Linked DNA regions of Mus musculus. The protein of the gene in region 2 purifies or fractionates together with the protein of the main gene of each other region. This does not show direct contact. Links are inferred from orthologs where the notes say so. Each region holds a gene or a part of one and is shown on either strand. Other genes may lie near its edges.

Region 1 (3,954 bases), on a different chromosome or scaffold from region 2:
TCCCAACATGATTTTTTTTCTTTTTCATTTGTATTTCAGCCCAATATTCAATATATGGGTCATTAAAGAACAGAGAGCCAGGAGCAGAACAAGTGGGTCTGTGTTGCATGGCTGTTTTCTGTCCTGGAAGGTGATACACACTAGAGTCCTCTGCAAGAGAGCTAAAGGCACACAACAGGGCAAAAAAGGAATTATGAAGAGTGCATGTGCCAACTTAGAAAATGTTCCCCTCTGAGGAGGAGCTAGTGTCTGGAGGAGGCTGGTGTTAACAGTAACAGGCTTGCAGATCTAGCCGGCCCTACCTCACTGTGTTCTTGTTCTTGGTTGTTAATGTGGCTTCAGTCAGAAGTGGCTATGAATTGCCAACACGGTTTTCCATTGTCTTTTAAAATTGTTCCCTGTGGATTTACCATTATCAATTAGAGACCTGGAGAGAGGAGCGAGAATGAAAAAGAAAACTCTGACACCGTCAATATTAATTTCTTAAAATACAAAAACCAGAAAAATATAAATAACAATAAGACCTCTTAACTTAGATAAGGAAAATAACGTTATCAGTTATGTTTCCATAAAAGCAATTACTATTTTGCAATATCCCAAATAGTCACCTAAAAACCTATTAGATATAGAATAATTCTGTGCCTTCAGTCAGATTCTCTGGATAGCAGTCCCCACCAAAATATTGGATTGGATCTTAATGCCATTTGGTTACAGCCTGTCTTCTTACCACGCGGGAGGGAACGCGAATTGTCAGTGGGGAGTTTTACAACATCGAAGGGCTTCTATGGCCCTGAGAGTTGATCAGCTCTGGCTCCTTCTGCTTACTCTTCTCCTAAAGTTATAATCCTCTTTGTAGCAACGAGTGTTGGTTGCTTTAGAAAGAAATGCAGCATGAAGCTCTCTATAAGAAATTTCATAAGACAACTCTCTACGCTGTTTCGGGGGGGGGGGGGCTGGGGGAGGGGATGTGGGGGGCACCTAGTTCCTTAAATACAGCTGCATATCACCTAGTTGGGCAGTGGTGGCGCATGCCTTTAATCCCAGCACTCGGGAGGCAGAGGCAGGCAGATTTCTGAGTTCGAGGCCAGCCTTGTCTACAGAGTGAGTTTCAGGACAGCCATGACTACACAGAGAAAGCCTGTGTCTCGAAAAACAAAAAACAAATACAAAAAAAAAAAATCCATACCTGTTTAGTTATTGAGTGGAATTAATACCAAAACAGTACATTAATATCTCAATAGATGAATGGTGCCAATATTCTAAAAGTAAATTTTAACCCTATTTTGCCAAGCAGCAGAAGGAATGCAGACTGTAGAATCTTGCCCAAGAAAATGAACTATTATAAAATAAAACATATAATCACATGGTCACACACATTGCATGTCCTATAGCTCTGTTCATAACATTAACATAAAAATCAAATTGGTATAGAAGGGTTTAGCAGCTAATCTCTGTTCTGTAATTCCATTTAAAAAAAAAAGAATTTGCTAACAAATTAAATAGCATTTGTATTTCTGATGCCAACACCAATTGACCTACTCGCGAAACATGCTTCAGTACGCACTGTAAACTTCACAGCAAGCCATTGTTACTACATTCATTAGAGAAGAGTTCTCCATCTCCTTTTAAGTTATCAGACAAATGTGGGGCTGAGATTGCTGAACACACAGGTAAGCCAACAACAACAGTACAATTTCATTTCACAGTGGTTTTCTAGCACATAAAGTTCATTTTAAGTGTTGTTGCAAGAAAGAAAGAAAAAAAAAAAGACAAAAACCCATTTCACATTAGATGTGTTCCTAGTGACTTCTGTTAGAGGATTGCAGTACAGGTATGTTACAGCCTTTTTGTTGTCCTGTGCTTGACATATGTGTTGTTTGACTGGGATACAAACTAAAACCTGATTTGTTTTATCTATGTTTTGAGTCCTCTGCTATAGGAAAAAAAAAAGTATCCTTCATGAGATGCTGAAGCCTCTACTGAATACACACGACCTGGGGCAAGTCCAGGTCCAGGAGCCCAAGTGGCCCACCACCAAACAGAGAAATACATCACCAGCAAGTCACCTTTGCAAAGGAAGAAAGATAAAAGAGAGGTGTTGGTGTTGGTGGAGGGGTACCCCGTGGAACGAAGACATCCACATCCATATTTACAAGGTCATAGAAATACAAACATTACTGTATTAGGAACCAAGTCAAAACAACCAAAGGCACAAAATTCCAATATTGCTTGAGTTCTATACATATTTCTCAGCAAAATACATCATCTCTTAAAAAGAAACAAAAGATCACACAAGTCAGTTTTTGATTAGTTTCCTAATGGTGAATTAAAGCTTTTTTGGTCACCTTATTTGATTAGAGCATACCACTTAATTTTTTTTTTTTCTACATCTGTTTTCCTTTATTGATTTTGCAAAATCTCAACAATTGCACGTTTCGAAAGTTCAGGTTGATTTAGAATAAATATACAGGTGTGGTTTTACCAAAGACAGACCTACAATGTTCCATAAGCCCTTTGAGGGGGATAGGTTTCTTCTCTGTGTTAAAACAGTGTGCGGGCAACACAAATGCCTCATTCCACCTTTAGAGTTGCTTTTGTTTTTAAATCCTAAAGTTATGCCAGGTTTCCTGGAAAAGGGAAGTTACAGCAAAAAAAAAAAATATTTAAGTGTCATCAGCACAAAGATTATGAATCCATGAAGCCAGCTCTTGAGGCAGTAAAGCTGGACCACTGGAGGGGTGGGGTGTGACGAGAGGGAGGATGTGCTAGGAGGGAAGACCGGAAGTGGGGCTGCCGGAGTGGACGCTCCCATCAGAGTGCAGAAGCGGTCACAGAATGGCTGCCTTCCCTGGCTGCCTGCATTCCCTTGAAAGCCAGCGATGCGGGAATGTCACAGTTGTGGGGGGACAGTGGGGTGCTGCCGGCATGTTGCCACCCATGTCCAGCCACATAACCAGAAGGAGCAGCACTGTAGGTCATGTAGGGTGACACTTGGGCTGGTGTAGGGTAAGGAGCCATGCTGGATGCTGAGACGAAACTGCTCACAGCTGGGAGACCATTCGGTGCCTGAGAGGAAGAGAGAAGAAACAAGAGACAATCACATTACAGTATTTAACATCTCTCCAGTCCTCAGACACAGAAAACAAATCCTGAGGGAGTTAACAGCCCTCTGGCTCTACATTTGGGCTGTCGTTTCCCCCTAGACTTCCTTTTAACCTTACTTTGACCTAAGGGTAGCCTGTCTTGCTCTTTAAACACAATTCTGAAAAGCAAGACGCTCTTCTTTCTACAGACGAGTTTTGGAAGCTACAACCAGAAGAAAAAAAAAATCATTCTTACTTTTGTGACTTAAAAATACACGCAGGATAAGTAGGCTGAGAAAAAGTCGACTGAGATGAAGCACTCTGGAATTCTGCTCAGCACTGCACTGCCTCTGTCAACCTTCCCCGGCACTTGCTAACTTTTGCCTTTTTTGTTGGAGCTTTGTTACAGACCTGTCTCCTGTAGCTTTCATTTCCAGGAGAGAAAGGCAGAAAGTGTGGCCTGCTGTGTTAGAAACTCAAAACGGACAGATTTTCTGTTAAATAAAGCACGGGCCATGTTTCAAGATATCGTGTTGAAAACGCCACTTGGACAAGGACATTGTAAACTCGGGATTTTTCTAGTAAGGGTTTTTTTGTTGTTTTGGTTTTGGTTTTTTAAGTTTGGAGATTTTTTTTTCACAATCAGAAAGGAAATTTTCTCCACAAATATGAATGAATATGTGCAGTTTTGAATTGGAAATTTTGCATTTGCAAAGTCCAGGGTTTTGGTTTTTTTTTTTTGTTTGTTTGTTTTTTTGTTTTTTTTTAAAGCCATATGAACAAATCTCTTTAAAGGAGTTTAATGTGAAATCTTTGTTTGCAAACAAGATGCAGCAGCTCTGGCAGGCAGACTTGCTTGGAAACCAGTGCT
Region 2 (3,954 bases):
TTAAAGCTGACAAGACCTAAAACAGAACAAGTCATCTTTCCTGTGATCAAGCTCATAATCACTATTACAGAGCAGAGAAGACTTTCTGTCCATTCTTACCCAGAAATGTAACACAAGCAATGTTTATCTGATTGGGGGGATGGGGAATAGTCTGACAAAGGGTACTTATAGAGTTGGGTCTTCAGGATATAAGTTTAGAATTTTTTTTAAGTGAAAATCTGCTGATTTGTGAAAGAAAAGTAATAGAGATCTACTGTGGTTTAACCCACTTTGTGGTCTTTACTTCACTGTATAGTTGACAAGAAACTGGTGGTGGTGCTCCCTTCCCCTCCATGAAAAGGGAGGGAGGGACCTGCTGATGTACAGAGTGCAGAGAACTGAGTCTGGAGGGAATGGTGGAGGGCAGGCTCAGCAGCTAAAAGCCCTCACTGTTCCCGAGGAGGGCCAGGCTTGGATCCCAGGACCCGCATAATGACTCAGGAGCATATAACCCCAGACCCAGGGACCCAGAGCTCTCTTCTGACCTCTCTAAGCACCCATACAAACACACACACACACACACACACACACACACACACACACACCATAAAGGAGGGAGAATGGCTGGAGGTAACCCAGCCGCTAAGAGTACTTGTTATTAAAGAGGACTCAGGTTCAGTTACAGCACCCACAGAGCAACTCACAATCATCCTCAAGCCCAGCCCTGTTCTGACCTCAGGGTTTATCAGGCACACAACAGAGTAGGCTCAGATACACACGCACACACATACATGCAGGCAAAACACACACATATAGAAGAGAGAAAAAAATAATGATAAGTGCCAGGGACACTAAATTTTGATTAGAACTAGGAAATGTTAAGCCAACATTTCACCAACATTTTAGTATTATACTGCATTTCAAAGAATCCATTTTAACAAAATACATAAAGTTGCTATTATATTCTTAAGATTTTTAAATTTATTCATTTATCTATTTATTTTGGTTTTCAAGACAGGGTTACTCTGTAGCCCTGGCTGTCCTGTAACTCACCCTGTAGGCCAGACTACCTGCCTCTGCCTCCTGAGTGCTGGGTTTAAAGGTGCGTGCTACCACATCCGGCTTGATTTATTTATTTTTATGTGTATGGTGTTTTGCCTACATATATCTCTATACACCATATGTATGTAGTGGCTGGGGAGGACAGAGGAAGCACTATACACCCTCTGACTGACTGTAGTTATAGATAGTTATGAGCCACCACGTGAATGACTGGAATTGAACCCCGGTCTTCTGAAAGAGCAAACAGTACTCTTAACCTCTGAGCCAACTTTCCAGCTCTATTTTGGTTTTCTGGGTCGCCCCCCCCCCCAATTTGTTTTTTGTTTTTTTGTTTTTTGTTAGGGTTTCTCTGTATAGCCCTAGCTGTCCTGGAACTCACTCTGTAGACCAGGCTGGCCTCAAACTCAGAAATCTGCCTGCCTCTGCCTCCCAAGTGGTAGGATTAAAGGTGTGCGCCACCACGGCCCTGCTTTCTATTTGTTTTTGTTTTTTTTTAAAGAAGTTTAGTTTGTTCCTTTCTTTCTTTTCACTACAGGGGGTGGGGCGTCAAAGTGGGGAAATGTGAGCCATGGTGTACATATGGAGGTCAGAGGTGAACTGGTTCAGATGTCACATGGGTTCCAGGAACCTAATCCAAGATCATTGGGCCCGAGAGGCATGTATACTGAGCCACCTCGCTGGCCCCAAAACCATCTTGTATAACCTATATACCCAGGCTTCACTGAGATGTTGAGGCCATCTGCCTCATCCATCTTGGCTAGAACCTTCTGCCAAGGACCTGGATGTAAGATTAAGCAGGAAATTAGGCTGTTTCAAAACGTTGGCTGCAACAAAATCCAACTAGACTTTGCAGCTTGAGTACCACTTTCTGCATTACTTACTTTTCTTCTTATTGATCTTTGCTTCCAAGGCTTCATTCACATTTAAGGCCCATTCATTGTAAGACTCTGCTCGAAGCTTTAATGCATTCATCATTGGATAGAGATCATCCAGAGTGTATCTATACCTGGACACAGAACACAAACAGCAATGAGACGGGCCAGTGGAAAAAACTGGACGTTATATCCTCAACATTCAGAGACCTATAATAACTAAAGACTCAGTGTGGGCTGGGAAGACGGCTCAATTGGTAGAGCAATTTACTTACAAGAACAAGAACCTGAGTTTCAATCCCCAAAACCTATGTGTGGTGGTGATCTAATTAGGAAGGGCCCCCATAGGCTCAAATATTTGAGTGCTTAATCATCATGGAGTGGTGTGACTTGAGAGGGAATCAGAGGTGAATCCTTGATGAAAGTGTGTCAGTGGGACTGGACTTTGGTGTTTCAATTGCTCAAGAAAGGCCCAGTGTCTCTCTCTTCCTTCTGCCTTTGGATATATAACCACATTCACACATAAATATGATCACACACGTGCATACATGTGCACTCAAGCCAGGGCATCAAAAAGACACTTATGCACATGCACACTCAAAATAAATGATTGGATGCTTTCCCAAAGGAAAAAAACTCATCCTTACTTACCGCAGGTTATACTTATACGGGGGGCAAGAACACAATTCTTTCACATGATGTAGGCAAACAAGTAGGCCAGGTTTACAAGAGCAGGAGATGGCAGACATGAAGCATGTAGTTTTGCATTTTATACACTGCCGCTCATCATCTGGCAACAGCTCAAAATCCATTCTTTCAGAATCAATTACTCCCTAAAACAAAATCTATATTAGAGGATTTGAAAGGATAATACAATCTAAAAGACCCAAGAAAATATGTACTATTTAGAACTATATAACCGGGCTGGAGAGATGGCTCAGCAGATAAGAGCACTTACTGCTCTTCCAGAGGTCCTGAGTTCAATTCTCAGCAACTATATGGTTGCTGACAACCATCTGTAATGTGATGCCCTCTTCTAGCGTATCTGAAGACAGAAACAGTATACTCACATACATGAAAAAAAAAAAGAACTAAATAATCTAAAAATAATAATAGCACATTATTCTACTTGTCCAAGGAGAATCCTTCTTTGGATGAGGCAGGTCCTCAAGTCTAACCACTTATTTCTATTTGAGCATTAATAAAATTGTTGATAAATGAATACTGCTGAAGTTAGCAACCTTACACCAAACTTACCTTACAGAAAGATTGGGGCACAGAGAGGAAGAGCTAAAGACACATGCTTTCTATCACAAAGGAAAAGTAAAAACACTGGCACACTTGCCTACAATGCACAGAGAGAGCCCTGGATTTGATCCCTAGCATCTTCAAGACACATACATAGAGGCACTTGAAAGATGACTCTAGGATTAAGAAGAATGAACACAGCTCTTGCAGATGACCTTAGCTCACAGCCACCTGTACCTGTCGCTGCCACCAGAGATCTAAGGCCTTCTACCAACACACATACTTTACAAACAAAGTAAAAATGGGAAAGGGAGGGAGGGAGGAAGGGGACAAAGGAAGAGAGGGAGAGAGGGAGGGAAGGAAGGTTGGTTGGTTTTACATTAATATTTTAATAATTTCTGACAATTACACGTTAAATCAACAATGACAAGACAAAGTAAAAAATGCTAATGAACAGATTTTTCATTTTAATCATGATCACTGAAAAGGACTTCTGTGGTCTGGAAAGAGTTGAGGTTAAAGAAGACCAAATACCAACTCTGAATTTGCTGAGAATGGAAAACATATAGTTTATACACAATTTTAACTTGTAAATTCCACATTCCACAGGTCAAGAATAGTTTTTCAAGTTGCAGAAATTAGCTACCATTATTATTGAGAATTTTGCACCAATGTATTTTATCTTTTTTTTTTTTTTCTTTTTTGGTTTTTCGAGACAGGGTTTCTCTGTGTAGCCCTGGCTGTCCTGGAACTCACTCTGTAGACCAGGCTGGCCTCGAACTCAGAAATCCGC

Evidence for each region.
Region 1: the proteins of Kdm5b (region 2) and Pax9 purify together in Homo sapiens (affinity purification with western blotting, with the first as the bait; 3 studies listed by BioGRID). This does not show direct contact. The link is inferred for Mus musculus from reciprocal best matches to the Homo sapiens genes KDM5B and PAX9.

Annotation. Positions count from the first base shown.
Region 1 is NC_000078.6:56,708,765-56,712,718, reverse strand, and holds part of Pax9 (paired box protein Pax-9), read right to left. Parts: intron 3,067-3,954; coding exon 2,812-3,066; 3' UTR 1-2,811. UniProt on the Homo sapiens protein: Transcription factor required for normal development of thymus, parathyroid glands, ultimobranchial bodies, teeth, skeletal elements of skull and larynx as well as distal limbs.
Region 2 is NC_000067.6:134,611,980-134,615,933, reverse strand, and holds part of Kdm5b (lysine-specific demethylase 5B), read right to left. Parts: intron 2,747-3,954; coding exon 2,565-2,746; intron 2,048-2,564; coding exon 1,923-2,047; intron 17-1,922; coding exon 1-16. UniProt on the Homo sapiens protein: Histone demethylase that demethylates 'Lys-4' of histone H3, thereby playing a central role in histone code. Does not demethylate histone H3 'Lys-9' or H3 'Lys-27'. Demethylates trimethylated, dimethylated and monomethylated H3 'Lys-4'.